4 linked regions of the Canis lupus familiaris genome follow. The protein of the gene in region 2 interacts with the protein of the main gene of each other region in a biochemical or structural test. Links are inferred from orthologs where the notes say so. Each region holds a gene or a part of one and is shown on either strand. Other genes may lie near its edges. The genes, in order: SGK1, NEDD4L, UBE2E3 and NDFIP2.

Region 1 (8,230 bases), about 9.4 Mb from region 2:
ATAGCTATGGCCAAAAACTCCCCACAAAATCGTCTCTAGATCATCCTCACAGTAGTTTCCAATGGGGAGAGTCAACCCTGAAACAGCGTTAGCATTATGGCAGTGTGTGCCAGAGATGTAGGTGTAAAGATTGGTGGGACTACAGCTGACCTCCTGAGTTTGAATTTTGCTACCCCTCTTAATAGCACTATGACCTTGAACCAGTTACTCAACCTCTCTGAAGCTCAGTGTCCTTGGCTGTAAGACAGGCATTGGCTGTAAAATGGGCATAATCAAGTGATTCTGAGGATTACACTAATAAAGTGCTTTGAACAGTGCCTGACCCTTAGTAAAAGCTCAGTAAATGTTAGCCCTCTGGGAAGACATGAAGCATTTCACATAGGAAGAGGATATTTGTTATCATTCCAATTCAACGCTTTAGGCAGACATAATAGAACAGTAAAGAGAAATACACGTAAAGGAATGCTGTTAATGGAACTGTGGTGGAGAATAACCACTTCAGAGGAGCTAAATTTTACCCCTCAGCTCTGCCAGGGTAAACATCATAACCAGGCTGAAAACCTTTGCTTTGTTCCCTGACATTTTTACAGGGAGGAGGAAGCTAGGGCAGTCATACCTCTTCACTTCTCTTCTGACCACTCTGGATTGGCTAACACCAACAGACAAGGTGGGCAGTGGTTAAGGCTATGGGCTCTGGAGCCAAGTGCTTTGATCCAAACTCTGATTCTGCCACTAACTGGCAGTGTGCCTTAGGACTACTTCCTCCATCCCCATGCCCCTTAGTTTCTTCATCTGTGAAATCGGGGTAACAATAGCAACTACCTTGGGATTTTTGTGAGAATTTACATATGTAATGTACTTAAGCCTCTTAGAACAGCGCCCAGCAAAGCTAGTGTTGTATAAGTGGTGGTGATTCTAAAATCTGTTATGATTAAAGAACAATACAACATATGGAATTGTTCAAATGCACAAAATCATGAAATACTGCATCAAAACAATAGTATCTTGTCAAAGTTGGTCACTAGGCAGTTAATTCTATGAAAACAAGAGCTAGATTTTGTTCCTACTCTATTGTTTAGAAAACAAATGGACATGGGGATCCCTGGGTGGCTCAGCGGTTTGGCAGTTTGGCGCTGCCTTTTACCCAGGGTGTGATCCTGGAGTCCCAGGATCGAGTCCCAGGATCGAGTCCCACATCGGGCTCCCTGCATGGAGCCTGCTCCTCCCTCTGCCTGTGTCTCTGCCTCTCTCTCTCTATGTCTATCATGAATGAATGAATGAATGAATGAATGAATAAATAAATAAATAAATCTTAGAAAAAAAAAGAAAAAAAAGAAAACAAATGGAAAAGGCATGAAGCACTGAACCAGTTAGAGGTCATGATGAGGAGGAAAGTACACTAGATCTAAGAGTGAAAACCCTACAAGTGAGCAGTGCTTAGCCCCATTCTAATCTGAGCAGGTGTCTTCACCTTCCTGATACTGTCTCCTCATCATTAAAACAGGGAGGTCAATTTCTCCAAAATTTTATATGGCTAGATATTCTTTGAAATTTTACAGAAGACAATATAATTATGGCTATAGAAGTCTTTTATACATACCTAATGTATTTCCAGAGAAGATTATCAAGTTGAAGACCATGCCATTTGTTTGTGTTTTCTGAGTCATAATGCAAGAATCTAAATTATGAACGGGTCTTTAAATCCATGAAAATGGATTATCGTTGGCACAACTGATAACTTTTAAAGCTCTTGGATTGTGCAAATAAAACTGATAAGGACATTTCCCCATTCATTTTAAGTGAATTTTTACAGACTCTGAGAATAAAAGATAATCCAGAGGCATCTAATGCGAACTTATCATTAACATGGAGACATTGAAAGTAGAACTCTTATGGAGTTTAGCTTAGCAAGTCTCAACTAAATGAAATTAAGCTGATTTAGTTGAGCTTTTAAGACATGAGAGTGGAAAGCATAAGTCTGAAGGATTTGGGGGAATAGCTCCAAGACTGCTTGTCTTCAGACTGTGCGCTGAAAAGGAACTTCCAGAAGCTTGTCTGCTGAGGATCGGCTGCCTCTATTGGTTTGATACCTCGCATAGAAATATAAAATTTCACTTGGAAAAAAAAAAGATTTTATGGTGGAAAATTTAAAAAAAGGTAAGGAGGATGATTTGCAATCAGAAGTCTGGACTAAGAACACAGGTTTTGGGTTAAACAAAGTTTAAATTTTAGCTCTGCTACTTTTTTAGCTACGTGACCTTGGGTTGGATGTTTAATCTCCCTAAGCCACACTCTGCACATTTAATAATTTCTCTTACTTCATAGGGTTTCTGTGAGGATTCAATGAGATTGTATATGTAAAGTACTTGGCCCTCAACTTCCAGAATGTAGGAAGCAGTGGATAAATGGCAGCTACACTTATTCTTCTAAATGAATGATGGGGCAAGTCATTGGTATTTCCCTCTGGTGAGTTTCTTGGTGCTCCCTTTGGAATGTTTCACAGGTGGCAGGAGCACCCCTCAAGCCTTCTGCAATCATAGTTTGGGTCCAAGCCTCAGTCTTTCTCGTGAGCCCTAAAATACCTGTGGGTTTTTTTTTTTTTTCCCAAGATCTATTCATGGTTTTATGTGGGCACTGAACAAAGCCTCACTTTGTAAGACTGTCCATCTAGGTTAAAAATAAATATGCAGCAATGTGTGGAACTTCAACAATAGAAGAAAGGGAAAATAGATTATTCTTAGCTGAAAACGAAGACATTCTAGGATATGAATGTGTATGTAGATGCATAGAAAAAAGCTAGAAGTTATGAACACCGACATGGTTGCAGCAGTTATGTCTGGGAGAGATTGGGGAAGAGGTGGGACTTACTTTGGCATCGTCTTGATGTTTTACACATTTATTTAATATTGGTGGTATAATGAAACACCAAAAAACCTCCCCAAAACCAAACAAACAAAAGAGCAAAGCCTAAAGCAAAAGTCCTGGTACAAAATGAAATGAGCTTTTAAAACAGAATTTGTATACCAGTAGACAAGAATCAAGGAATTTATCTTTGGGGCTATCCATGACTTCTTACAAAGTCACATTCTGCTGATTTTGCCGTCCTTGAGGAGCAAGGAGACCAGTAGGGGGATTTCTGATTCTATCTCCAGCAACTGATAAACCCAAGCTCTAGAAGGTAGATGAAGCTGCTGGCCAGAAAATCTTGGTATAGACCTCCTACTCCCTGCCAAATACTCAGATAAAACCGCAGCTAGTTCTTTGCAAAACTAAAGGTCAACAGAGGTGCCAGCTGAAGACGATGGGTAAATTATGCTTTTAAGCAAAAAGAAACCAGACGGTAAGTTATGTATCTATTAGTGCATTTTGATAGCAAAGAAAATAAGTAACACTTAAAAAGATTCTACCTGACAGCTAATTGGTTGATTAAAAATAAATAAATAAATAACCTAACTGACGAGTTGTATTTATTTATTTTTTTAAAGATTTTATTTATTTATGAGAGAGAGAGAGATAGGCAGAGACACAGGCAGAGGGAGAAGCAGGCTCCATGCAGGGAGCCTGACGTGGGACTCGATCCCGGGTCTCCAGGATCAGGCCCTGGGTGGAAGGCGGCGTCAAACCGCTGAGCCACCCAGGCTGCCCTGACCGAGTTTTAAAATACCATCCTCATCCCACTCCCACCAATACCACTAAATTAATTAATTAATTAATTAATTAATTAAAACAGAGTTAAGGGTTTAAGCACTGAATTATGGGCTATGACATTTTAAGAAATTATTATTAGCAGCAAAACATTTGTTTGCTGTTGGAGATTAGTTTTCAGAGTGGGGCCCATTCCTTGGAAAGAAGCATTTTGACTACAGGGAAAACCAAGAAATACTGCAGAGCTCTCAGAAGTTGCACGGACTTGATTTGCTTCAGCCTGCAATCTTCAGTAGTGAGGGATCTCCAGGAGCAGCAGGAAGGACAGGGTGGTCTTGCTTTGGTTTTAATGCATATGTTTTGGCCCATGGAGTTGGGGGAAGGCTGTGCCGTATCAATGAGACAGTCAAGGGGAGCCAGTGCTGGACCTCGAGCTGGGCCTGACTTACTGCTGCCAGCACGGCTTTCCCAGCTTGCCCATTTGGTGCAGGAAGGTAGCCTGGCCCAGTATGGAATTCACTGTGTTCTGCTGATGGGTTAAATGAAGGACCCTGTGTCAGGCACAGCACAGAGAGGATCTGAATGAAGGATGGGAAGAATGAATGGAGAGAGCCATTTTGATGGAATTGCCCTAGAGGATTAAATAGGACAGGGCATTTAGGGGTGGAAGGAAGGTTCTGTTGCTTACGAAACTCTCCACAAGAGTGTCAGTCATCGGTCCCTTAACAATCATTCATTTCATACCTCCCACTTGTGTATAAATCTGTCGGTTTATACAGACCAGAGCGTGACCATCACAATGTATCGGGTTTATCATGAAACACACACAAAAAAGACCTCCCCCACCCCTTTTCTTTTGCTCATTTGTAAGCAAAGTGATGTTCACGCTATGAATGGAAGCAGGAGGAATTGGAGGAATAAATGTATACAGCAGCATAACCCCATCTTGTCACTTGGATTCAGACCATCCACTGTTCTCGCTAAAAGAAAGGCAGTCATAACCGAGCAACATCGAGGCAACTTGAAATAGAGGATTTAAAATGCTGGATTCCATCATTTCTGCAAAAGGTCATTGTCGTCCTTTGCTATTTTTACCATAGACAGAGACCCGGCAAGTTCCCGGCTGAACGTTTTTGGAAAGCTGGACGCTGCCGCTTGCAATGAAGACGGCAAAATATCAGCCGAAACGGAGTCAATGAAAGGTGTGGAAAAAGTTGAACCCTTCCACGACGAGAGAGGAGAGCTACTGAATTGGTCCCTGACCGAAGAAGTACTAGCCGGGGCTGCACCCGGGGCCAATTCTCTTAGAAACCGCCCGTCATCTCGTGGCTTTGAGAAATGCCCCCTCGGCGCTCGCACCCTCGCCAGGGCAGCCCAGCGCACCCGGTCCTCCCAGGCGCCCGCGCCCGCGCCCGCGCCCGCGCCCGCACCCGCACCCGCACCCGCACCCGCAGAGGGGCATCGAGGCAGGGATATTTCCCAGCTGGACCACGCTTCCCGCGGCCCGCCCTTCTCTCCGGCCGCTGCAAGAGAACCTGGGGCTCACCCCGGGCCAGCGACTCGAGCGTCTCCGAGAAGAGCAGAAAACAAAAGGAACAAAACCTGTCCTTACCCGCTTCTTAAAAAATTGGAAGGCTGAGCATTTCTTGACTGGGAATCCATTCATGTCTTTGTTTACCATTTTCCACAGCGGGGAGCTCGCTGCGACAGAGCCAGGGTGGCAGCGCCCGGTGGGTGCCGCGGGGCCCGGCCGCCCGCCCCCCGGAGACAGTCAGCGAGGGCGCAGCGGGACGCGGAGCCCGGGGTCTTGCTCGCTCGCTCGCTCGCTCCGCCGCGCCGCTACTGCGGCAACCTCTCCCCGCTCTCGGTGGCCACGGCCGGTGGCTTCGCTCTTCCCATCGCGGCGGCGAACGGCGGGCGTCGGCGGCCGGCGGCCCCGGGAGATGCTCTGCGGCTGGCGGGCCCGGAGAGGGGCTCCCCGTGCGCGCCCCCGCTACCTGGCGGCCCGGGGGACGCGCGGCTGGCGGGCGGCTCCGAGGAGGGCTGCTGCGGCCGCGCAAGTTCGGTGGGAGCTGCGGTGAAGCAGCCGAGAGAAGGAGTAAGAAGGAGCAGAAGCCTCAGGGAGGGAGGGAGGGAGCGGGGGAGCGGGGGAGGGGGGAGCCGGAGAGGCCGGGGTGGGGGGGTGGGGGGGGGACGCGCTGCGGAGGCGCCGCGGATCCCGAATATCTGAGCCGCCCGGGAGAGGAGGCTTGGGCTGGGACGCACCGGAGAGCAGTTGACACCCCTCGGGAGGGCTACTTTAATAGTGTATTTCTTTACTTTTTTGTTGTTGGGACCATTTAGATCAGAGTGGCAGAGGAAACGCAGACCGTTTTTGTCTTATGCTCACTGACGTTCTTTTGGTACGTGTTCCTGAATACAGGGAGTCTCTCAATGGAAATGTGATCAGATTCAATCCTGATCTGTTCAGATGTGGAGGAAAATGAAATGTGGTGCAAGCGTAGGTAGAACAATGGAGGATCTCACACTAACCATATATATAGAACCCCTTCTAGTGTCCTCTCCCCACTTGTCATCATCTAGTGGGCAATAGTGAAAGTAATTGTCTTTTTCACTAAAGAAGGCCGTTTAAAAAGAACACAATGGACATATACAAAGTGCCTTATGGTTAAAACAAAAACAAAAAAAACATAACAAACAAACAAACAAAAAACACAAAGAGCATCACCAAAAAGTATTACTGAATCCATGTGATGGAAAGGAAGTCCTGATGAATGAGAAGAAAGCCGTTTCCTATCAAGTGGAAAGCTACCCCTGAAACCCTTACTCATGTCATTCTTTGCACATTAAATTCATTTTTAAGACACCACTTAATTTGTGTCTGGCCTGTTTTTCCGTGTTTAGTCTTTAATGTTGATATTTTATGGAGACTTTCAAAAATGAGAGTTGATGGGTAAATGGAGACAGCAAAGAAAATAAGCTTGGCATCTAATCTGGCACTGCTAGCCTATTAATGTATGGCTTTTTGCCAGTCACCTGACCTCATGGTGTCTCTCAGACAGTGCCTCATCCATGAAATGGAGGCAACTGCTCATTCCTTCCTTCCTTCATTTACTTGTGTATTTACTCATTCACTTGTTTGCTGTGTCATTCCATTTATCCATCAAATCAAATCCAAATGTACCAAGTGTCCCCAGGATGCAGAGCCTTTTCATAGTCACAAAGGAGTGTAATTGATAAGTAAGGGGAAGGCACATGCCAACTTGATAAAAAAAAAATGGCCAACTCATTAAAAACAATATACCTAGAAGAGAAACATACAGGCCAAATGGGAAGAGATGTGTTCATTTCATTGAATTGGAGTATAAACCTCTAGAGCTGGACCAAGTTTCTTTGGGAAATGACAGTTCAATCTTATTTGCTAAATGCTTTGAGATTTCTAAACACAACTAAATGATGGCATTATGAGTGATGGAAAAAAATCGACCATTCATTTTGGAGATATACATTAAATTGTCCAAGATGCAAGGATACATTATTTAATCCATGACAGTATTCGGTTTTGTGGTTCTTCTGAAGAGTTCATTTAAAACTCTGGTAGCTTGGAGAGAATCTTTGAGGATTGTAGAAATGTTCCCACCATGATCATGATGGTGGTTTTATGACTATGCGTTTGTCAAAAGTCATCAAACTTTTATATGAAAAGAGGAAGAACATTTTGCTGTATGTGAGTTATAGTGCTGTAAACTTGATTTTTAAAAATCATGACCATTCAAATTCTTTCCTGTTCTTCAACTTTCTTCTCTCCGGAAGGCATGTGAACAGATATTTATTGAGTTTGAGGGATATGTCGAAGTTGCTCTCTGAGCATCCTGTAGGCAAGGGATGCTAGGGGCCTTGCCTTAGTTCTACACTGACCTAGCAGGCATACTGGTTTTAAGTATACTGTATGTTTATTTGGGGTAAAGAGGGTTGGCTAATAGAAATTATAGGGGAAGAGGTAGAGGTAGAGGTAAAAAATCCTCTCCCTCTGCCCCAGTATATGTGATCCCTTGGAGATGTTGCCACTGTCTCTGAGTCTATGGTAATCCTAGGGAAGATTCTGTGAATACAAGTATCAATAGATTCTGTCTCTAAGGAAGTTACAGCTTAGTGGAAAAATATACACTGTGGCAAGAATGATATCTGTACTGGCATTATCCCCACTGCAGTTGGAGGCCTGGCAAGGTGGTTTAGAGTAGGCAGAGGAGGCCTGGGAAGTTTTTTTGCAAGGGATAATGTTAGTGCAAAGCATTAAAGAAAGAGTAGAAGTTGGCCAGATGAAGGAGAAGTATAGGGCAGGGATTCTGGCCAGGTCAGGGTATTACTTTGGACTCTATTTCGGTCACTGCAATAATAGAGAAATGTGCTGGATCTGGTAAGCCAACACTGTGTTGGCTACTCAGAGAAAACAAGGCATCTCTCATATCACTCTTACCTCTATTTTTATAAAATTACCTGCAGGTAGGCCCAGAGTGACTACCAGGTACTCACTGTCTCCTTTGCCAGGGTTCTTGGTACTTATGAAGGAGCATAGACTGCTGCT
Region 2 (8,008 bases):
CTTGAAGAAAATAAAAATTCAATAAGAGTAGAATTTAAGACAATACATTATATTCACCAATTTATAAAATTGCTTTTAAGTGTCACAACAAAACCTAGTCCCCTTTTAGGGTTTTTCTTAAACGTTAGCAATCACGATGCAGACTGTAACTGGAGTAAAGCACATCAACCTAGGCACAAAGCACATCAGCCAGCTCTGCAAGGCTGGACTCAGGCATTTGGAGTTGGAACAACTGGGCAAGTCTTACCTGCCTCTACAAAACTGTTCAGCACCACCTATAGATCCAAACAATATCTAAACTAATTTCCAAACGCAATCTTGCAATTGTTTTGCACAGCTGCAAAGATGGCACGCAGGATCTCAAGGAATCTCTTGACATGGACCATTTTTTAAAAATTAACAGCTACCCTCAATTACTTACAGATGGCTATTCGGGTGGCCTATCTCATAGGCTCCCTGTTTCTTCTCCGCCAATGCCCAGTGAAGGGCATTTCCCTTATGCTACCCCTTTTCTCAGAAACAGAAAGGCAGCGATCTGACTGGCAACTGACTTCAAAGTGAAGGACTGGGGTACGAGTCCGAGAGCTGGCCCTTAACGAGAGTCTGGAATTCAGCAACAGCCTGAAATAAGGATGCTCCATAAAATGAACAGTGTAAAAAAATAATAATAATAAAATGAGCGGTGTATCATAGTGCAACAGCAACTTTTTTCTCTCTTAGAGGTACAGAAGATAATGGTGCATCTTAAGGTTGACAGCATCTTCAAGATAATATACCTAGGCCAAAGGTTAACCTTAAATGTTTGTTCTGGAGTTCAAAGAACCCTAAAACGATAAGCAGTAGAGGGGGTAGCAGGAACTGCAGCACAGCTACCACCTCCCCATTGTCCCCACAACGTGGACACAATTGTTGCCAGGTGAGAATGGAGCCCCAGTGAGGTCAGATTTTTGCCATTTTCTGTAAAACTTCCCGAGCTTTAAAGCACAGCGAAGACCATACTAAGCCAGCCTCCTGGTCAACTCAGACCTGCAAGTCTTCAGTTTACAACTCCTGATGTTTATCTCCACTGCAAATTAACTTCAACAACCCGGCTATGAAGACATCTCATGATACCTGGAAGACAGGAAGAATGCTACAAACCAGGCCTGTGCAATCAACAGAATGGAGTTCAAATCCTGACTCCATACGTACTTACTGTGTGTCCTTCTAAGGGTCACCTAACCTCTCTGAGCCTCTATTCCTCATCTGTAAATCCTGGCACACCTCTTAGGAGGTTCGTGAGGATTACACGAGACAGCAAGTACATAAAGTTTGCTAACACGGTGCTAGATGCAGAGAAAGCATATGAAACATTAGCCAACTATTCTTGTTTGTATATAATGCAGAGGAAGGCTGTCAAAGTGCTATCCCACATCAGCCCGGCCATCTGTCTCATGTAACCACCAAAAAACTGCCGCATCTAATAAGCTGTCATTCAGACTTTAGTATTCCACCCAGAAATCTTTTCAATAAATGATACCTTTCTAAGATGTTCCAACAAAAAGACTTCACAAGGTTAACAGTAACACTCCGGAGTAAACTGCCAAAATGTGCTACAGATTGCCAAAAAAAATAAACAAAATAAATAAAAACAAAAAGCACAACAAAAAAACTGCCCAGGAACCAAGCCAGATGCAGCAACTAGTCCAACTGTTCTAATTCCAAACCAAATCTGATGCTGGGCCCAGAGTCACAAGTTTTGCTAATTTGCTAATCTCTCAAACACCAAAGTCCTTCATCTGATGGCAATTTCAAATTTGGTTTCCCTAAGGTGACCTGATTCAAATCAGTAAATAGGAGCTTGAGCTCACTGAGGAACCTCAACAAGACACACAAAAAATAAACAGTACACGCACTCACACAAGCAAAGCCCATATTTAATTCCTCTCTTTCTACAAGCTGGAGAGACCTGGGAGCAAGATCCTGTCTTGGCATCCCCCTGCAATGCTTCATCACCAGTAGTACTTAGAGCTAAAAAATCTTTCTGAGATGGGACAGAAAGCTAAGTGCGCTCCAAACACGCAACGCTTTCCATCAACTTCCAATGAAAATACAAACTCACTTTTAAGAAATGTGCTAGGTATAAGGACACCTAGTTTGCTAAGAGATGTGTAAGATAGCTCTTATGTAGCAATCAACATATCTTCACGTGTGATGTTCGGCAGCACACCAAGTGTGTGAACTGAAGTGCACTCATACTTAACACGCCTTGGAAAAACAACCCTGCCATTGGTTTCATGAGCCAGTCTGCTTTAAGAGCCTGTTAAGATCTTTCATTTGTTTTCTTACACAGACTAATTCAGGGAGACAAAACAAGCTGTGCAAATTCAACAATTTGTTAATATTCTACGAAGGCATTCCCTGATTTTCCAAAGGCTAACCCGACGGTGCGATACCTCCCATAAAAAAAGCAAACACCATAGAAATGTGAAGTCATCAAAAACAGTCTTGCCTTATTCCCCCCCCCCCCCCCCCCACTGGTAGAAGCTGAAAAAAGACAACAGATGCCACTTGTCTTTTGTAATCTAACGTGCGGAAGGAACTTAATAGTCCCAGCAACATATCCATCACTCAATCAAGAAAATGGCCTTAGCACCTTGGGCTGTTCCCCACACCAGCCCTAAACACCGGTCCAGCGACGTGCAGGAGTAAACCCAGTCATACACATACACACGTATATACACACACATACCAATTCTGTTTATATTCCACCCTTCGCTTTCACACTGGACACCAGTTAAGGAGATCTGAGTTAACTAAAGAGGCAGGATGTGCCCTAGGTAGATGGTGACACTAGATATAAATGTAAACAAAGAACACACAACAGGGGCACGCAGAGAATCCATTCATCAAGTTGAATTTCTCCAAACACTCTTAATATATTTTTCTTTGGTGCGCTAAGAATCATGTAATTTAAAATTTACAAGAGACCAAAGCTGAAGTGCAGCTGTCTTCCCCCCACCATACCTCAAAAAGCCCTTTGTTCAGGAATGTCAGTATCTCAGCACCTTTCTAAAAGCTCACTGCCTGCCATCTAGGGCTGCTAATTAAATGGAGAAGTACCGAATGAAAGGGAAAGCTCCTCAAAAGGGTAGAGGAGCCGGGGAGCGGGAGAAACCCCTGGGTGAAAGCAACAAGGAGCCTTTTCACCACCCATCCCCAGGTAACTGCCCCCCCCCTTCAAAAAAGGGGGAAATTACCTCGCCCTGAGCACAGCAGGGCAAAATAATCGAAAACGTAAATCACACATTATTTGCATTGTGATCATTCTTTGATAAAATACATACCGAGGCAAGCTTTAGGTAGCTCTGGCGAGAGAGAAAGAAAGAAAGAAAAAAAAAAAAAAAAGTCCTACCCCCAAACACTCTCTCCACCCCCAGGTAACTATTCCATTACACACTTACAAAGCACAGACACACGATTCCATTACACACTTGCAAAGTGCACACACGCACAATTCCATTAGTCACAAAGCACACACACACGATTCCATCACACACTTGCAAAGCACACACACACACACACACACGCACGCACACACACCCCCAACCAGGGCAGGAAAGCTGCAGAGAGAGAAGCCATCACGGGGCAGGTCCGGATAACAGCCTCTCCAGCAACCCCACCCCCAGCACCCGAGAAAGAGGGGACCTCGGAAAAGAAAGGAGGGGGAAGAAAGAGAAAGCCCGAAACCCTCGAATTTCCAGGCATCAACTTTTCATGAAACGCACGACCAGGAGAGGAAATACCTCCCCGCTGAGTAATGCACCGAGGGCCGTAAAGCGCCCCCGGGAGCCCCGCGCCCGCGCCCCGCCGACGGGCCCCCCTACCTGTCCCCGCCCTCCGGGGCCGAGGCGGGCGCGGGCGCGGGGTCCCCTCCGGGCGGGCGGGGGGGCGGGGGCCGCGGGGACACCTCGGAGGCCGCGAACAAAGCTCACCCCGCGCAGCCACAGCCTCGGGGGCGTGGCTTCCCGCATCTGCTTTATTAATAAGGGGGAGCGATTGAGCTTTTGTCTCTCCACCTACCCCGGGGGTGCCGGGCTCGGAAGCCGGGGGGGGGGGGGGCCGAGGAAAAAAAGGAAGAAAAGAAAAGAAAAGAAAAGAAAAGAAAAGAAAAGAAAAGAAAAGAAAAGAAAAGAAAAGAAGACATGGCAGGGCTGCGGGCTCCCTCCAAGTTTCCGGCGGCACCTGCCGCCCCTGGCCGCGCCCCCGCCCCGGGACCCCCGGGACCCCCGGGCGCGCCGGCCTCGGCCCCCGCCCCTGCCCCTGCCCCTGCGCGCACGCAGCCCCGGGGCGCCCGCCGCTCGGCCCCGGGAGGTCCCGCCGACACCCGGCCGCGACGCGCGGCGTGGGCTCCCGGGCCGCAGGGCCGAGCGGCGGGAAGTTGCCCGGGAGCCCGGGAGCGCGGCCGAGGGGCGCACGCGTCTCCGTCCCCGCGGCCCAGGGCGGCGCGCACCCCGCCCGCAGACCCCGCGCCCGCCGGGACCCGGGCGGCCGCCGCTCACCTCGTCCTCCGAAAGTCCGTAGATCGGCTCCCCGAGCCCGGTCGCCATGGAGCCGGCGCCCCCCGCGGGCTGCGGGGCGCTCCCGGGCGGCTGGGCCGGCGGCTCCTGCGCTCCTGCGCTCCTGCGCTGCTCGGCGCCCGGCCTGGCGCGTCCCGCGGGCGGGCTGCGGGGGGACCCGGGCGCCGGCAGGTGAGGGAGCCCGAGCGCCCGCCCCGAGCGCCCGCCCCGGCCGCCGCGGGCGCCGCTTCCTCCCGGAAGGCCGCGGGGCGGTGCAGGCAGGCGGCCCCGGGAGCGCGCCCAGCCCGCCGGCCGCCCTCCCCGGCGCTCTCCGAGCCGGCTCTCCGCGCGCCCGAGCCCGGCTCCCCGCGGCCCCCGCTCTCCCCGCCCCGGCCCCCGCCCCCGCCCCCGCCCGGCGCCCGGGGGGACCCTCCCCGCTCGCCGGGGCGGGCGCACGCGCCCCCCAAGCCAATCAGAGGCCGCGCGGCGGGGCTCGGGGCCCAGGCCCCCCCCACCCGCGGGGCTCGGGGGCGGCGCTCGAGGGCTGGCGGGGCGGGGGCGGGGGCGGGAGCGGGGGTGCGCCCCGAGCCGGCCCTCCCCGCGCGCGCAATGGGGCCGGGGCGGCCTGGGCGTGGGGGGCTGGGGGCGGGGGCGGGGCGCCCGGGGCGCCCCGGGCCACCCCCTTCGCGCTCCCTGCGCCCCGAGCCCCGAGCGCGCCGCGATGGTCCGGGGGGGAGGCGGGCATATGCTTCCGGACCCCTCGGCCGGCCGCCCGCGGGGGAGAGGCTGCCCCGGTGTGGCCGCCGCTCGCCACTGCCTGGGTCAGGCTCGGGGGCGCAGGCCGAGGCCGAGGCCGCGCCGCCCCGGCGCGCACCCGCCCCCCTGAGCAAAGCCGGCTCCGCTCGCCCGGGCGCCCCCGCGGGAGACCGTGCAGCTCGGGGAGCCCCCGCCCCCCGCACGTGCAGACCCGGGCGGGCTCCTCCCGCGTCCCGGCCGCGGTGCCTCCCGGAGCACATCCCCTCCTGGTCACCCCCAAGATCCATAGGGACGCCGCCGACGACTTTTAAATAAGCGAAAGAAATGCATCCCTCCACTTTTTCCGGGAAGCCTTTCCTTAAATTTAGCTGGTAAAGGCAGTTGCGAATTTTTGTCTTTTTATAAGCACAATATGCGATTTTTCCTTTGAAAAGAAGCCTCACTCAGAATGTCTACTTTGGAATGAACAGGGCGCTTTTAGAATGTTTCGAGGAAGAAAGGAGAACTCACGTGATCCATGAGCGTCCTTATGCCTGTTTCCAGCTACTTTGCTAAAATATCTGCTTGTGGGCCCTGCTAGATCGTTTTCGAAAGAAAATGGGCATCCCCCACCTTACCGCCCCCACCTAGGCCTCCCGGTGACACTGCTGTGGCTTAAAACCCTGTGCCCTGCGTCTGTATGGGTCTGTATGGTGGGTTTCTTTGCAAGACTTAACCCCGTGGAGCCAGCACTGTCCTGCGAAGCCTTCTTGTCTGCAAATCGTGTCCTATTAAGTCAACAGAACTTAGATGCCAGAAAAGCCCAACGGAGGGGGAAAAAAAGAAAATTACCTTTATGGAGGAACAGAAATGACCGGTCTGTTCTTTTTGGGCCAAAGTTTTTTCACTTTTTCAGACCTAGATTGTTTTTCTTTTAATAAACAAAAGGTTCTCTAACATGCACACCTGTGCACATACATACACCCCCCCCCCAAATTTTAACATGGTGCCTGTGACTCCCATAGGCTTCACTGCTTCTTTACCCTCACTACCCCAAAACTTTGCCAAGCCTTGTACCCTGGGAGGTGGAGGGGGCGTAATAGATTTTAAAGTTTTCAAATAGAGAATTGTAATTTCTAATGATATAGGACACCTTTCCTGCACACTGGGGGTACACAGGTCCAGGCTTTATCTCTGGGGAAAGCCATAACTTCTGGAAACCATAGAGGTGTCTCATACTTCCCTTATCCCCTCTTCATCATTCCTGCTCCCCTGCCCCACCCCAACAGCCTACACTACTGGCACTCTTGGGTCATATCCTTGGCTTTCCCTTAGGGATGGCAATTAGAAACTACGATGTGAGACTGACCATATGTCATTTATTGTAGGGGTGCTTATAAAACCATGATCCATACCATTATTCAATGGCCCCTGTTAAGAAGACTCGAGACATTTCAGACCTATGAGGAAAAGCTTTCTTTCTTCCAAGGAACTGGTAAGCTTTTACATACGATGAGGAGAACTATTTCAAATGATTGTTTTTCTATTTACTTTGGCCACCAGGAAACTCAGGACCAATTTTAAGGCTGTGAGCCATAAGAGAACCTATAAAAAATTGAAATCAGTACCCGTTGTAATTACGAATCGGCTTCCCCCCAAGGCAGTGGTTCTCTATGCTGAATGCACATTGTTACCATCTGGGGAGCTTTAAAATGATCCAGTGCCCAATACCAAGTGCTCAGCTGCCAGCATACGAGACTATGATAACATTGGTTCAGGGGAGGAGTGCAGGCATCAGTAGTTCCAGTGGTTTCCCAGGTGATGCTAATGTTTGTGTTGAGAATGGCAGCCTCTGCCGGTGGTTCCCAAACTTCACTGTACACGGGAACACCTGGGGATCTTTAGAACTACTGTTCTCTGTCTCCCTCCCTCATACACGGATCTGGTTGATGTGGGGTGCCACGTGGGCATCAGGATTTATAGAGGCGCTCCAGGAGATTCTAAGAGCAAAATGTAGGGATCTCTAGCCTACTCTCTACATATTTTCTATGATCCTGATTTTTTTAATTTAGAGAAAACTGCATATTATAAACATACATCCTTTGTGGAAGGAGGTAGGATATAAACATATGTACTTAATGGGACTATTATGGACTGCCCAGTTCTACATGCCCCCTAGCACCCTGAAGTCTCAGAATAGCAATCCACTTTTTTTTGGGGGGTGGGGGGTAGGTAGTGTGGGGAGGACAACCCTTAAGAGAAACTATTTGGCATTCTCGTCCAAAGCCAAAGTGTTCTTGCATCCTCCAGTCAGGTTCCCGTCTACCCAACAATTAGCATAGAATTTGTTCCGTTTTGTTCCCTTTGGAGGCTGCCTTTAAACATCTAAGATTTGATACCGTGGGTGTTTGGTGAATGCTCTTCATTAGGTCATCAGAAATGAAAAATTAGCAAGAACAATTTTAAAGTACAACAGGTGATCACAAATAGGGAACATTCTAATACTAAGCCTCTTTACAAATTGAGTTGGTTTAGTTAACTATGTGTACCTTAATTGAGCCTGGGAAGAACCCAAAGCTGAAAACACAGTGACACCTATTTGCATAAATTTCATATAAATACCACGACATTTTTCTCTTCCATTTTGCGGGGACTTGGGTTCTTTCAAAAGAAAGCTGGTGAAACAGGCCTTTTTGAAGATGGCCAGGTACCTGTAAAGACTGGTGCCGTCTTGG
Region 3 (7,528 bases), on a different chromosome or scaffold from region 2:
GTCCATTTAGAGTGGTCTCCTTATAATTCTGTTTTCTCTCTTGGGCTTAAGATATTAGAAAAAGCCTTTGGTGATTAGTCCAATATATAGAAAAAGTAATTCAGCTTCTTTAAAAAATGACCACTTAGTAAGGTAACATATGCAAAATCTCAGACCTAAACATCACTTTTCAAGTCAACTATACAGGTTACTATGTGGCAAGTATGCACCTCTTGAAAATGTTAGGAATTATGTATTAATGAGTTTATCTCTGAGGTTATATGTCATAATCTGGTCCAACTCATCAGCTATCATTTTAATATCTGTTATTACTATCTCTAAGACAACTAACTGTAATCCAAGAGAGAAGGGAGACTAAGAAGCCCTTCATTAGTAAGTGGCTGCTTTAAAGCACATGGTAGCATGGAAGGTGCAAGAAAAGGAAACACTGGTGCCAGTCATTGCTTTATTCTTGTCAAACATGCTTTGTACAGCTACATTATTAAGAAAAAAAAAAACCATCAGTGACAGAAAGAAAATAATTATAGGTAGCATGCCATTAATAAACTAAAAGTTATTGTGAAACTTCTGGTCTATTCTAAATGAAATGGCATTGATAATTTCCTTGCAAAATGATTTATGCTGATCTTTCCACTAATAGCATTTACTTTCTCAAATCCACAGTTTAGCAACCACAAAAACACACTGGTTTCTGTAGCCCCACGGTATGTGTTAATAAAGATTTGCTTACCAGGGTTGCAATCTGTCAAAAGAGAACAAATCGACAGCAAAACCTTTGAAATAGTCAAAGCAGGACTCCAGTTGTCTTTAAGGATGTCCAGACAGATGACTCCCTGACTGTTGATGTTGCAATGATAGATTCTGGTGCGGAAAGTAACCTAAAGGCAGTTCCATTAAAAACAAAGAAAATGAATGCTCTATTACCAACTAAAACTCTCACCAGCAAAAGTGACGAGTAACACATCATAGATACTAAATAGAAAATAATTTAACTGAAGAGTTAATTAAATACTACGTTTAAATAACATCAAAGTAAATGATTTTATTTGGGGCGCCTGGGTGGCTCAGTTGATTAACCATCTTTCTTGGTCTCAGCTCAGGTCTTGATCTCAGGATAGTGTGGTCAAGCCCCACACCGGGCTCCACGATGGGCATGGAGCCTAATTAAAGAAAAAAAAAAGTAAACGGTTTTATTTAACTAAACCTTTTTTACCCAGCAGATAAGGAACTTCATCAATTTACACCAAAGTGAGTAGCTGATTTGGTTGCTTGGTTTATGCTAAATGAATGATACAATAATTCTATGTATGTATGACCATATATACCGTGCACACGTGTGCACATACAGCTCTCTGTGTAAAGCAAGTGAGAGAAAACAGAAATGCTTTAGTGCCAGAGGTAAGAAGGAACTTGTGAAGTTTTTTTTTTTTTTTTTTACCATAAAACAAAAGTCACATTAGTTTCTTAGTAGAAAAGATCAGTATCAACTCAGTTAATGTCCTGTCATGTATCAGAAAATATTGGCCAAGGACTTAGAGGAAGGTTGATGAAATCACTTGTCTATTTTTCAGCCTTTCATTTCTGCTGTTGGTTCAGCGTCTTGTTAGACTAAGACAGTAAAACGAAACAAGGTCCTGAGGTAATGAATAAAGGAAACTAATACATCTGAGATATGTGGAAAAAAAAGAATAAATCATAGGAACAAGTACCGGCAAGTTTTAAACAGTCACCAACACTAATGGGGTGGCTAATTCTTAATATGGAGTAGCAGAGAAAAAAAGAAAAAGTTCCTGATTCTTAATATGGAGTAGCAGAGAAAAAAAGAAAAAGTTCCTGATGTTTTAGAACTAGCAGGATACTACATGATCTCCCAGATGGAGTCTAGAAAGAAAATATTAAAAGTTCTCAAAAGTATATTTCTGATAAGGATGCATAATTAAAAATAAGAAAATTTCAAAAAAAGAAAAAAAAAACAAAAAGAAACCAGTGGTCTAGCATTCAACTGAAAACATTCAATAAGAAAAAGGAAGAGACTGTAGCTCCAAAACCTCTGTGTAATAGGGTACACATACTAGCTTTATAGCTCTTAAGATGTGGCTAGTTGAAGTGAGATGGGCTAAAAATGTACAATATATACCAGATTTCAAAGACACAGTATCAGAAAGAGAGTGTAAAATATCACATTAATAATACTTACACTGGTTTCATATTCAAATGATGAGAATTTGGATGTACTAGATGTTATTAAAATTAATTTCACTTTTTCTACCCTTTTTAATGTAGCTCATAGAAAATTTAAAATAACATGTGTAGCTTGCCTTATTTTTGTCAGACACTTCTGCTCTAGAATATGGGAATAATATATGTTTAGATCACCGACAGCTGACTACTAAACAGACTGTGGTTTATAAACACAATGCAATTAATACTTTGAATCCTTTGGGGACGCTTAGGTGGCTCAGTCCATTAAGCCCCGCCTTCAGCTCAGGTCATGATCCCAGAGTCCTGGGATCGAGCTCCACATCTAGCTCCCTGTTCAGCAGGGAGTCTGCTTCTCTCTCTCCCTCTGCTTGCTCTTTCGTGCACATGCTCTCTCTCTCAAATAAATATATTTTCAAAAAATATTTTTAAAAATACTTTGAATCCTTTCAGCTACTAATAATTGGTGAATGGAAGAGAATTAAATTTGTATTATCCCTCAAGAAGTTCAACACCTTATCTGAACCTCAAAAATAAGCAGAACTGTATAGAAATAATTATACCTAACACCAAGATAAGAGCAGAAGTATTCTTTCTTTTTCACGTGTCCAACCACAGATCTGGATAGTGGTTCATAACACTGTGTGAGAGATCTTGGGCAAAAGGAATGATTCAACATGCAAGGGTTAGAAAATTAAAATACTAAGACTTCAGAAAAAAAAATTAATGCTAAGTTAAAACATAACCACTATAGTAACCAAAACAACTGATAAATCATACACAGAACTATAGTTTGAAACTCTTGTTAGTCAATTTCTATTTTACATTAAAAGATGCTAAGAAAAATAGGAGTCTTTCTTTAACAGATCTTCCCTCACAAAAATAATTTTGTAAAAAATACATCTTGCAAACTTTATCTAATTTTGCTGCCACATTAAAACCAATTTCAAGAAAAATGAGGCATCTGGAAAGAAGTATCACTATTTGCAAATACAGCCATGGCTATTTTGCTGTGGTTTTGTTTTCTGTAATATGGGAAACTTAACCAAAGAATGCAAAATTGAGCAGTTACGGATGTATCAGCACTTAACGTGTCATTTTGAATGTGAATACAATTTGTAGTATCAATAACAAAGGGCTTTTTGTTCCTTTATTTGATCTAGCAAGATACACTCTACATACTTGAAAACATTCAATAAGACAGTCGTTTAAAGATCTTAAATTCTGATGGGATCACTGATAACTCCAGTTGACAGTAAATACCTCTAGGTGATAGGGAGCTCTGGGTCTGTATTTTGAGGTAGATACCACTAGGTGGAACTGTTGTTACCTTATTAGATAATGGAGAAATAATCTTGGGTTTCAAAAAAAATACCTTCAATTTTTACTCTCTCTCAATCTCAACCCCACCCCCAACCCCAACCCCACCTATGCATCCAGGTGAGTGCAGGCATTAAACTCTACATGTATTTTAAATAGCGTAGGGAACATAAGGAACTATGTTGAAAGGAAAGACATTTCATCCTAGTTAGAGGCTTGATAACAACATACTTTTCCCCTGACAGGTCAGAAGTCCCTGTAACTAAACCATAATTATGTTCAGGCTTAATACTGGCGGTTTTTACCTGTTTGCTTGACCACTTTATAATGAGAAGTGAGAGGAGGAAACTACTCAGGTAATTGTCATGTTTAAGACGTGAAAAATAATTGCCAATCCTCACAAGGCACAACTCAACCCTTCTGTTATCCATCCAGTTCATACTGAGAGCCAACTGAGGCCTAAGCTACCCAACTACCCTCATTCTCATTTCTACATTGTATCTACAGAGGGCACAAAGTAAGCTGATTAAATAATAGTAGTTTCCCTCTTCTTTGCTATGGTTTGTTAGTTTTTGCTGATCTGTAAGGGTAAGGTATTGAGCACAAAACTCAAGCTATTTAATTCTTATTTAATTCTGTTTACTTTTTACCCGCATATGTTTCTCAAAGAAGGTTCATAGGATATTTTCCCTTAAAACATAAATCTAAAATGCATCTGCTTTATTGGTATGCAAAGTAGCATATTTTTATTTGCAATTAACAAACCCTCTTTCCGCTGATTATAAAGCTATTTGTATAAGGCAGAAATCAATTTCTTTCAGTTTTAAAATACTTGGGTTACATGAGAGTTTCCGTATCACTTCATGAAAAGCAATGAAATGAAAATGACTACATAAATACACATTTAATCTCTAGCATTTCAGAGAAGGATAAATATTAAAGAATGGACATCTAGGTTCTTACCTTTGGTGGCTTAAATGGATAATCAGATGAAAAAGTGATATCCAGAAAAAACACACCACCTTCATATACAGAACCTGGTGGACCAAGTATAGTCGATCTCCATTCATAAATGTTATCTCCTTTAGGCCCAGCACTATTTAAAAGAAATTAAAGATCAATGTGTGTATCTGTAAGCAATGGATGTTAACATCTTAAACCAATTAGGTATTAAAGGTAAATTAGCAACCTAGAGCAATGAGATAAATATAAAAGAAATAAGCCCCAATGTGTACATACAAATGTATAAACTTATGTGCAAATATTTCAAATTTACAGAAAAACTTCAAGAACAAAGAATACCAGTATAACCTTACCCAGAATCTCCTTGTTAGCATTTTGCCCCATTAGCTGTTTCATCTTTCCCTCCCTCCCATGCTTTCTATGTCTGTGTCTGTGTATACACGCACACACCGACACCCAGTGCTTTTTTTAAGCCATTTGAGAGTAAGCCTTTCCCCATAAATACTTTAGTGTGCACATTTCCTAAATTAACTTCCAATATAATCACAATGCAGCTACAATTTTAGTAAATATATCAGTAAAACACACTTTAACCTATAATCTGCAAAATAATGTCCACACTCAATAACGCCTTTTAAAAAATTTAATTTCCATCCAGATACAGAATCCAGTCTTGTGATCATCTACGTTCCATGTCTTTAGTTTCCTTTAACATGGAATCTTTCTACCTTGGACTTTTTATACATTAACATTTTTTAAGAATACATTCATCTCCCTCCCTATCACCTCCTTCTTTTAATAGAATCCTCATCTTTTTTGGAGTTATCTGATGTTTCCTCATAATTAGATGCAGACAGTGCATTCCCAGCCACGGCAGTACGTAAGTGATGTGTTCTCACGGTACCAAGGTATTCATTCACTTATCTCTAATTGGTGATGTTAATTTTCATCATCTAGATCAAGTGCTGTCCGATTTTCCTACTGCTTATTATCTTTCCCCTGCAATCAATAAATAACCTTTGGACAGATACTTTTCGACCATACCAATATTCTGCTCTTCATCAAAATTTCTTCCCTAGATTCAACACCCAACGGTGATTCTTGGCTGAACTAAACTGCACTGTGATGGTGATAAAATCATGATTTTCCAAATTCAGCATTTCCTCCACATTTACCAGCTAGCCCTTGATCCCTCTCTTGTTCCAATGGTATGAATCTGTGTATTATTGGTGTGGTTTCCTGGATTCTTACTTTTTCTAATGATTTATATAGAATTCATCACCACCTTTAATTGTTTTGATGCTCAAATTATCCTAAATTTGGCCAGTGGGAGATCCTTCAAAATGGCCCCTGTAGTCTTGTGACAGGCTGCTGTAATTTATAAGTACTTCTTTGATTTTCTGGCATAACTAGATGTTCAGGATTCCAGCTTTGGAATCAGTCGTTTCCTTAAGGAGCTCTGTCTGGTTCCTTTTAGTCTCACATTTAGGGAATGGTCAATGCTAGGTGCTAGAGTTCCAGGTACACTGCATTGTGCTCAACAATATTATCATTTCATTTATAAAATTTGAAAAAGAGAGATAATTCAAATAAAATTTAGCCTCACAATTATTGGCTGGTAAGGAACATTGAACAATCCTTAAATTCTCTTCCAATTTACCTACAGACTTCCATTTTCCCCTGACCTTTAACATCATAAATTATCTTGACTTTCTGAACTATATATATATATATATATATATATAATGCATATACAGCATTTCTTCTTTTAAAGGGACCACTAGAGTCTAGAAATGATCTGCGTGTTTGATTTGAAATAAGGATAAACCTGCATTGATAAATAGTCCACATTAATCACAATAGGACTTAAGTATAGTTAAAATAATTTAACTGTATCTTATTAATTCTGTAAAACAAACTGAATTGTAAAGTCAGGTAAATGATGTTATCAATAATCAAATGTATGCTCTGAAAAATAGTTCATACAGAAAGGGTGTAGAAAACTTGATGGTATAATCAAAATGTTGGCAGCATGCTTTAAATACCTATCTTTAAGGTAGGTACATCAACAATAAAATCTTACTATTTTGGCCTATGTAGGGAAAAATATTTTTTAAATAAATACTGTTTTATATGATTCAAGTATACACAGCATTGAAACTAATCACAATAATGGCTCACTGTTCTGTCATCACTTGAGAATCAGCTATATTCCCTAAGTGAATTTTTATTGTAACTAAAAACATAAAATTGAGTCCTAATTTTGTAAACAAACGAAAAAGGGTTTTAACCAGTTTCAAGAGCATTTCTTTTTCCAAGCAAATTTTTCCCTTGGTGACTTAAGATAATCATTATACAATTAAATTATAGTGTCAAAGACTTTTATGATATGGCCACTTCACTAAAATGTTGCTAAACTATACATGTCACACTGTGGTAGTGGTAATAGTAATAAAAAATACTAAAAACAATATTACTTAAGGATTATTCCATCTTTACCACAAGCCAGGCATTGTTCAAAGCATAGTGCATAACTCATTTAATCCTCTCTACAAATCCATGAAGTAGGTACTATTAGTACATTCCTATTTTTAGATGAGGAAACAAAGGTTCAGAGAGTTAAATAACTTTCCATATGTCCCATAGCCAAAAATGACTCAGACAGAACTTGGACAGTCTGTGAACTAGTCTGTACTGTCCTCAATGGTTTGCTATATATTTCCTCTTACTAATTTCAGTGCTGCTACATCTAATTTAATCTTCAAATTTTGCTAATGTTTGTTTGTGTAAAAATTCAAGGGGTGCTGTTACTCAAACAAAACAACAGAAACAAAAACCCAAAACCAAACTTCCTCAGTGCTATTTCTCAGTTCTTACAGGAATATGCTATGCTTCAAGGGATACACAAAAGTTGGGGATTACTATATTCTAATGAGTCGCATTATTTCAGACTGAAAAGAAACTGGTTGAAGCCGACCCCCCCACCCCCACCCTTTACAGTTGAAAAAAACAAGGCACAGAAAGTATATGATGCGTCTTAAATCCC
Region 4 (7,528 bases), on a different chromosome or scaffold from region 2:
ATTTGAGAGAAAGCATGAGCGGAGGGAGGGGCAGAGGGATAAGTTGACTCCCCGCTGAGCAGGGAGCCCAACTTGGGGTTCAATCCTGGGACTCAGATCGTAAGCTGAAGGCAGATGCTTAACTGACTGAGCCACCCAGGCACCCATGAATACATTTGGATAGGTTTTAAGTTAAGTTGGTCATTCTGGGAAGCACATTTATGTATTTGATATGGTAAGGAGTGTTTCTTGTGAGGAACCAGAGGAGAGCTATTTTGTCATATAGGATCTTTTTCTTTAGTACACTTCATCCACATTTGCAGCATTAAGAATAGAGATAGGACAGTGGTTTTCCTTTTTTTGACACCATCACTGTTAATTGTTTAGTTGATAATGGTAAGTTTATACTATATACTTAATATAAGTATATTTACTTTATTTGCTTTAACTTGCTCATCTAATATTTTTGCTCTTCAAAGTATGATCAAAGATGGAACTCTCCTGGGTACCTTGTAATAGGAAACATAGAAGATGCTTGGTGACGCAAGACAGAGTGTTGCTAGTCAGGAGGATGGTCATGTGATGCCTGCTTAGAAAACTGCTGCAAGTAAATACAAAACTCATAGAAAATTCACTTTATGATTATTTGACCTTAAATTCAGTATCTGTGAGTAAATGTTATTACCTAAACCTTGGTGTTAGGGGAAAAGAAAAAAACAAACTTATTAACTTGAGGAATGATTTTAAGTATGTTTATGGCAGTTCTGTTACAATAGAATTTATGAACTCACAGAAGTATCATGCTAGTGTGATCACTAACCAAGACACATACAAACAGTAGTGAAGTAAATTTTACTTTGCATATATATATATATATTTTGAGGCAAGGGAATAACTACTTATTGGACTGATAGCACCAAATTATTTCAGGCCACAAAATAAAGTATATTAAATTAGAGGGGAAGGAGGAAACTAGTATTTATTAAATGCCTTCTGTGTGTTAGGTGTTAATGTTAGATGCTTTTCAAATGTTATTTTACAATTCTATGAGGATTTTGGCTGCATTTTGAACTTAGACTTGGAGACACCGAGGAACTGAAAAGAGGTTTATCAAAGCTCCTAAAAGGGGGAACAGAAATTTGCATGCTCTTTTTTTTTTTTTTTTCCTCACTACATCACAGAACTCAGATTTGTGTGTGTACAGATTTGCTCTGCGACAAAATTTATTTTGGGGATTATTTTTAACATTGAATTTCTTTAAAGTGCAAGAATAAATTAAGGTATGAAAATTGAATAATGTTGAAGACCTGTAGTTTCTCTTCAAACCAAGATTCTAGCGAATTTAAAAGTATCTTAAAAAATCTAGTAAGAATCTTTTCCGAATATATTTTAGGTGAATTATAGTACCTCTTAAAATTTTTTAGAAAAGATTTTATTTATTTAGTAGAGAGAGAAAAATCCCAAGGGGTGGGGGAGCGGAGGGAGAGGGAGAAGCAGATTTCCCACTGAGCAGGGAGCCCTATGTGATGCAGGGCTGGGCTCATTCCCAAGACCCTGAGATTATGACCTGAGCCAAAGGCAGTTGTCTATTTAACAGACTGTGTACCAAGGCATGCCTTTTCGATGAGTCACTTTTTTAGAGTATTGATGCTTTTGGTTGACCTATAGTTAGTTTGCCTACATGTTATTATCATCTCCTAACAAATGAGCATTTAAAAGAATACTTATAAATGAAGTAATAAGTCCATAGCCCTACTGCTTAGGTTTGATTCCTGGCCTTACCCTTCCTAGCTGCTGTGATGTCTGGCAAGTTACTTTAGATATCTACATTTTCAAGGTTGTATTCACCCCCACCCTTTTAATCTGTCAAATGGGATAACATTCTCTATTTCATAGATTTGTTGTGAGGATTAAATGAGTTAAACGATTGCAGATCCAAAATATTATCTTGCACTTACTGAGCTTTCAATAAATATGTTGTGTTGAAGAACATCTTCCAGGATTTTACATTGGATTGATTGATCTTGCTTTATAAGTAATTCTTTGGGTACTTGAGAAAAACATCAGAGTATTCTACATTTTTGGAATGTTTATTATTTCCTTTTATTAATTCAGGTTACATTTTCAATTATGCTAGATACTAGTGTAATAGAAATGGTATTGTGGTTTTATTATTAGGTGCTTTACTTTTCACCGTAGTACACAGTGATTAACACATGGTAGACAATATTTATGGTAGGATTGAATGAATTTGAATCTATTTGTAGTCATGATTTTTTTCTTTATGCTTTCTTAATTTGAACTTCATTTTTACTGTAAAGAAACAACCAAAATTTAAATTCTTCATGACTACTTAAGTCTCTTACAAATTTTGTTCATCTTTTTAAATGGTTTTACTTTGTTTTTAGCTAAAAAATGATCCTTTCCCTGAAATAATCTTTAAAAATTCTCTTAAAATTAAAAAAAATAGAGACGCCTGGGTGGCTCAGCAGTTGGGCATCTACCTTCAGCTCAAGGTGTGATCCTGGAGTCCCAGGATCGAGTCCTGCATCGGACTCCCTGCATGTAGCCTGCTTCTCCTCCCTCTGCCTATGTCTGCCTCTCTCTCTATCTGTCTCTCATGAATAAGTAAAAATCTTTAAAAAATTTTTTAAAATAATAATCAGAATGACATTAATACTTCTTTTTCTTTGTTCTCTTAGCTTCACAATGAAGAGGATAATTCAGAGTCATCGGCTCTAGAACAATCATCAACTTCAAACCCAACACCACAGATCATTCAGACCACTCCTTCAGCATCGGTACTTGAAACGGAGTCTTCTCCTCCACCTTATAGTAGTATTACTGTGGAAGTACCTACAACTTCAGGTATTGTTTTTAGTACCAAACATTTAGTAATACTTTTAGTAGTTCAGGCTTTTTTTTTTTTTTTTAAACTAGTGTGGTTTTGTTTAATTATAGAGTTTGTTAAAGAGGCTTCCTGGTTTTATATATTTTTTTTTAAGAAAGGTTTTCTCGAAGGACAGTTTGTAAAATACTTATTCATAAATTACTTGTCTCTTATTTTTGCTTTCAAAAAAATTACAAGTGTAAACTTTATTATGCTTACTAGAATCTATTTCTAATGGAGTAGCATATTCCTTTTGGAAGAAATAAATTGTATATGCACAAAATTCATTTATGTATATATATATATAGACACATGCACATATAGATACATACATGTATATATACACACATACATATTTGTGTTTGTCTATGTCTACTTATATAGTTATAAAACAAGGTGTTATTGATGCTGAATGTGAGCAGGAATGTGGTATGTATGAACAGAGGTGAAGGGTGCACATAATTTAATCATATACACGGTAATAATTCCTGGACATGAAGCAGTGGTTCCTGTGTCCTACTATTCATTGTATCTCTTCAGGTCATTCTGGAGAACTACCCTCATCTATTTCTCTGGCCACAATTTATATTTTCCCAGTAATGCTAAATTAATTATTTTATATATATATATATTTTTTTTTTCTTTTCTTTTTTTTTTTTTTTTTTACTTTTATTCCAGTAGAATTAACATACAGTGGTATACTAGTTTCAGGTTTACAATATAGTGATTTAACAATTCTGTATTTTACTTAGTGCTCATGATAAGTGTACTCTTCATCCCACTCATATTTCGCTTATCCCTCTACTCACGTCCCCTCTGCTAACCATCTATTCTCTGTGGTTAGTAGTCTTTTTTTTTTGTTATGTCTCTGTGTTTTCTTTCCTTTGTTTTGCTTCTTAAATTCCACATATGAGTGAAATTCTGTGGTATTTGTCTTTCTTTGACAGACTTATATCACTTAGCATTATATAGTCTAGCTCCATCCATGTTGTTGCAAATGGCAAGATTTCATTCTTCTTTAAAAGGCTGAATAATAATCCATTGTGTGCATGTGTATATATCATTATCCATTCATCTATCAGGGGGCACTAGGTCGGCTTCCATAATTTGGCTATTATAAATAGTGCTATAGTAAATACAGGGGTGTATATATGCTTTTGAATTAGTGTTTTCTGTTCTTTGGGTAAATACCCAGTAGTGTGATTACTGGATCATAGGGTAGTTCTATTTTTAATTTTTTAAACCTCTATAATGTTTTCCACCGTTGGCTGCACCATTTTGCATTCCCACCAGCAGTACATGACTGTTCCTTTTTCTCCACATCCTCACCAACACGTTTCTTAATATGTTTTTATGTACTATTATAAATAACCTCTAAATATTTTATACATTCATTATGAAACATTCTTTAAATCTGTTATAAAAATTTTAATACTAAAAATCCCTTCACTAGAATATTTCATCTTTCTTATCTGTTATTCTATAATTAGTATCATCATTTGTCTTAAACTCTTGCCAGCTTTCTCTGATTACCATTTCTGCTTCTATAGATTTTATCTAGACCACATGGATTGTGTAGAACGACCAAACCATTTACTTTTTTCATTTACAATTTTATGCAGTTACTGAAAATCATCTTTATGAAGGTTTTCTCACTGATAAATTAATAAATGATTACTCCTTTTATTTGTATATAATGTTTATTTAGATCAATATGCTTGTTTAGTGCCAAGTTTGATGGACAGTTTTTATATTGATGTATAGCAGTTTTATTTATTTTATAATTTAATTGTTGGATTGGTGCTTGCTAAAATTTATTATGGGCTGAATTTTCTTCTTCTTATTCTTTAAGTTTCCAGAATATAGTTCAGTGAATTTGCTATCCTAAATTAAAAAAACAAAAAAACAAAACCTATTTGATGGTAGTCTTAAAGAAAGAAAATCAGTTGTTTTGCTGATGTTTGTGTATGTTTTTGAATGATGGAGGATGGTAAGATTAAAATTGTAATATTTTTGGTTGTTGGCCACCATTGCCACTGCTGTTTAACAAGCTAAATGGAGTAGAGCCATTTATTGTTATTAGTTCTTGTGGATTTTGGGGTGGGGGAGGCCCAATTATGCAGTATTCTCCCAAGATCTCATGTGATTATTGTCTTGTGGTGACCTGGAGCTCAAGTCACCTTGATTCCTTCCTTATTAACATATTTGGCAGCTGATGTAGGCTTCAGCCAGGGCCTCAGCTGGGCCTATTGGCCAGAACACCTGTATGTGGCCTCTCATTTTGGCCTGTGCTTCCTCCCTGAATGGAGGCTGGGTTTCAAGAACAAGCATTCTGAAAGCCAGATAGAAATTCTATCACTGGAATGCCTGGGTGGCTCAACAATTGAGCATTTGCCTTCGACTCAGGGCTGATCCCCAGGGTTCTGGAATCGAATCCTGCTTTGGGCTCCCTGCGAGGACCCTGCTTCTTCTTCTGCCTGTGTCTCTGCCTCTCTGTCTCTCTCATGAATAAATACAATCTTAAAAGAAAAAAAAACAAAAGAAGCTCTGTCACCTGTTATGGCATTGTCTCAAAAGTTACACAGTGTCATATCTGCCACATTTGGTTTGTTAGAAGTGAGTCGCCAGGTTTAGTCTTTATTCAAGAATTAGTCTCTACCTCTTGATGAGAAGAGTTTCAAAGACTAGAGTGAGTTTCAGCACTGTCACAACTGTCTCCTGCCTCTTCCCCTATCACCAGACCTTTTCCTTTGTCACTCTTCTTCATTTCAGTAAATGGCTCCAGTAGGCCAAAAGCCTTGAAGTCATCTTTTTTGGGACCTTATCACAAAATTAAATGTTTTTTCTCCTGTACTTTTCAATGTAATGAAATATGTTATTAATAGATTTATTTTTTAAGCCAATTTCTGTACTCTTAGAATAAATTATCACCATGTTCGCATCTCTTCTGGATATAGATTTGTTAATATTTTTTTAGAAATTTTACAGTTTCATTAGTGGGATCTTTATGTACTATCCTTATGGTTTTAGTATTAATATTATGGAAGCAACATAGAATGAACTGAGAAACTTCTCATTTTTCTATGCTCTAGAATAGTTTTGATAATAGAGCATGGCATTTTTAAAGGTAGGTAATTTTCAGTTGTAAGACAAGTGGAGCCTGCTACCTGGCTGTTCAATTATTCTTATAATGTGTGTGACTACTAGTCTCAAAATTTTATTTTTACAACTGTACTAAAAGACCATTCATGATTGTTACTGAGCACAAGAGTTAAGTTCTAGAAGTTTGCATCTCTTTAATGAAAACAATTGATACTATTTTTCTTCAGCCTTTTAGTGTTGTATTTTAAGCATTGACAGTACCGATTTTCTGTGGAGGTTATGTTCTTCAGTCAGTTACTTTCCAACTGGGCTTACAGATCTGAGCGACATCAGTAATAATAGTTGACATTTGTATAATGCTTTTACAGCTTACAGAGTCCTCTTGAATACTTTTAAATTCTGTCATACAGCAAGTAATAGCCTTTCTGGGTCAGTTTTATGGATGAAAATGTAGAGCTTCATAAAGTGCTTAAGTGACTTGCTTGAGGTCACACAACTTAAGGAGCTGGGACTGGAGCTCCTCAAACATTAAATTTTCTGGTTGAGAACTGCTACCTTAAAGGATAGACAGAAAATAAGTAAAATTAACCAGTGAAAATTAAAGCAGTAGCAAAATTGTGCTCTTTCCCAACTTTCATCTGTTACTGGTTAGGATATTTTTGTCTATCGTGGGAGTTTAAACTTTGAAAGCTTACATATCTGTTGTTAATATAAAAGATCTCTCTTCTTGGATAATGTATGTCATTGTTCCAGTTTTTAAATTTCTACTTTTAATGTTAGTGCCTTAAAATTCATTGCTTTCACTTAAATTTTCCTTCTAGTCTTCAGAACTGAAGAAATCTATTTACTTGGCCACGTGTGGTGTTTTTACATCTGAATAAGTATTTTCTTTTCTTTTTTTTGAATAAGTATTTTCTAAGAATTTATGACTCTTGTGCCTTTTTGGTGTTTAACATTCAGTAGTACACTGCCGTTAGCACTTCCTGTCATTGGATTAAAAATTGCCCAGCTTTAGATCTTTAGCTCTTATTGATAGCATTAGCAAAACTTATTTTAAAGTCAATATACATTAAAATATAATAGGAAAAGTATTGCTAGAAAGAAATGTGTTCTCATGTTGGAAATGCAAAAAGTTCTGATGGAGAAAATGTACAAATACTGTAGTTACAATGAGGAAATCACAGAAATTATAGCGTGGACTACTATGAGAACCTACTTGTTTTTCATGGCAGTGATTCTAGCATAAATCTAATCAGTTTATTGACCTATATGTATCATTTTACTTGTACTGCTTTAGATGGTGATAGGTATGCAGGTGTTTTGTTTCTTTTTAATTAGCACTCTGGACTTTTGTGTTATGTTTCTAGAGGTCATATTTTAAAGAGAGTTTAAAAATTGGGGAGGGAGAAATTACTCATTAAAAAAAGTCTAAAAAAACTAGGTTGATGGGGGGGGAAGAGTAAAAAAAAGAGCTAAGAATTGTCAGGTTTTTGTTTGTTTGTTTGTTTTTGTTTTTTTAAGCAATGAGAGATGCTGAGTTTGCCGAAGAGATTCAGG

The links.
Region 1: of the proteins of NEDD4L (region 2) and SGK1, one has a biochemical effect on the other in vitro, tested with the Homo sapiens proteins (5 studies listed by BioGRID). The link is inferred for Canis lupus familiaris from reciprocal best matches to the Homo sapiens genes NEDD4L and SGK1.
Region 3: the proteins of NEDD4L (region 2) and UBE2E3 form a complex in vitro, tested with the Homo sapiens proteins (3 studies listed by BioGRID). The link is inferred for Canis lupus familiaris from reciprocal best matches to the Homo sapiens genes NEDD4L and UBE2E3.
Region 4: of the proteins of NEDD4L (region 2) and NDFIP2, one has a biochemical effect on the other in vitro, tested with the Homo sapiens proteins (2 studies listed by BioGRID, with this or other methods). The link is inferred for Canis lupus familiaris from reciprocal best matches to the Homo sapiens genes NEDD4L and NDFIP2.

Annotation. Positions count from the first base shown.
Region 1 is NC_049222.1:27,422,934-27,431,163, forward strand, and holds the start of SGK1 (serine/threonine-protein kinase Sgk1), read right to left. Parts: upstream 5,391-8,230; 5' UTR 5,327-5,390; coding exon 5,258-5,326; intron 1-5,257. UniProt on the Homo sapiens protein: Serine/threonine-protein kinase which is involved in the regulation of a wide variety of ion channels, membrane transporters, cellular enzymes, transcription factors, neuronal excitability, cell growth, proliferation, survival, migration and apoptosis.
Region 2 is NC_049222.1:18,068,125-18,076,132, forward strand, and holds the start of NEDD4L (E3 ubiquitin-protein ligase NEDD4-like), read right to left. Parts: upstream 4,658-8,008; 5' UTR 4,590-4,657; coding exon 4,542-4,589; intron 3,797-4,541; exon of another isoform or gene 3,518-3,796; intron 1-3,517. UniProt on the Homo sapiens protein: E3 ubiquitin-protein ligase that mediates the polyubiquitination of lysine and cysteine residues on target proteins and is thereby implicated in the regulation of various signaling pathways including autophagy, innate immunity or DNA repair.
Region 3 is NC_049257.1:24,631,515-24,639,042, reverse strand, and holds part of UBE2E3 (ubiquitin-conjugating enzyme E2 E3), read right to left. Parts: intron 4,616-7,528; coding exon 4,483-4,615; intron 879-4,482; coding exon 731-878; intron 1-730. UniProt on the Homo sapiens protein: Accepts ubiquitin from the E1 complex and catalyzes its covalent attachment to other proteins. In vitro catalyzes 'Lys-11'- and 'Lys-48'-, as well as 'Lys-63'-linked polyubiquitination.
Region 4 is NC_049243.1:32,849,435-32,856,962, forward strand, and holds part of NDFIP2 (NEDD4 family-interacting protein 2), read left to right. Parts: intron 1-2,681; coding exon 2,682-2,847; intron 2,848-7,528. UniProt on the Homo sapiens protein: Activates HECT domain-containing E3 ubiquitin-protein ligases, including ITCH, NEDD4, NEDD4L, SMURF2, WWP1 and WWP2, and consequently modulates the stability of their targets. As a result, may control many cellular processes.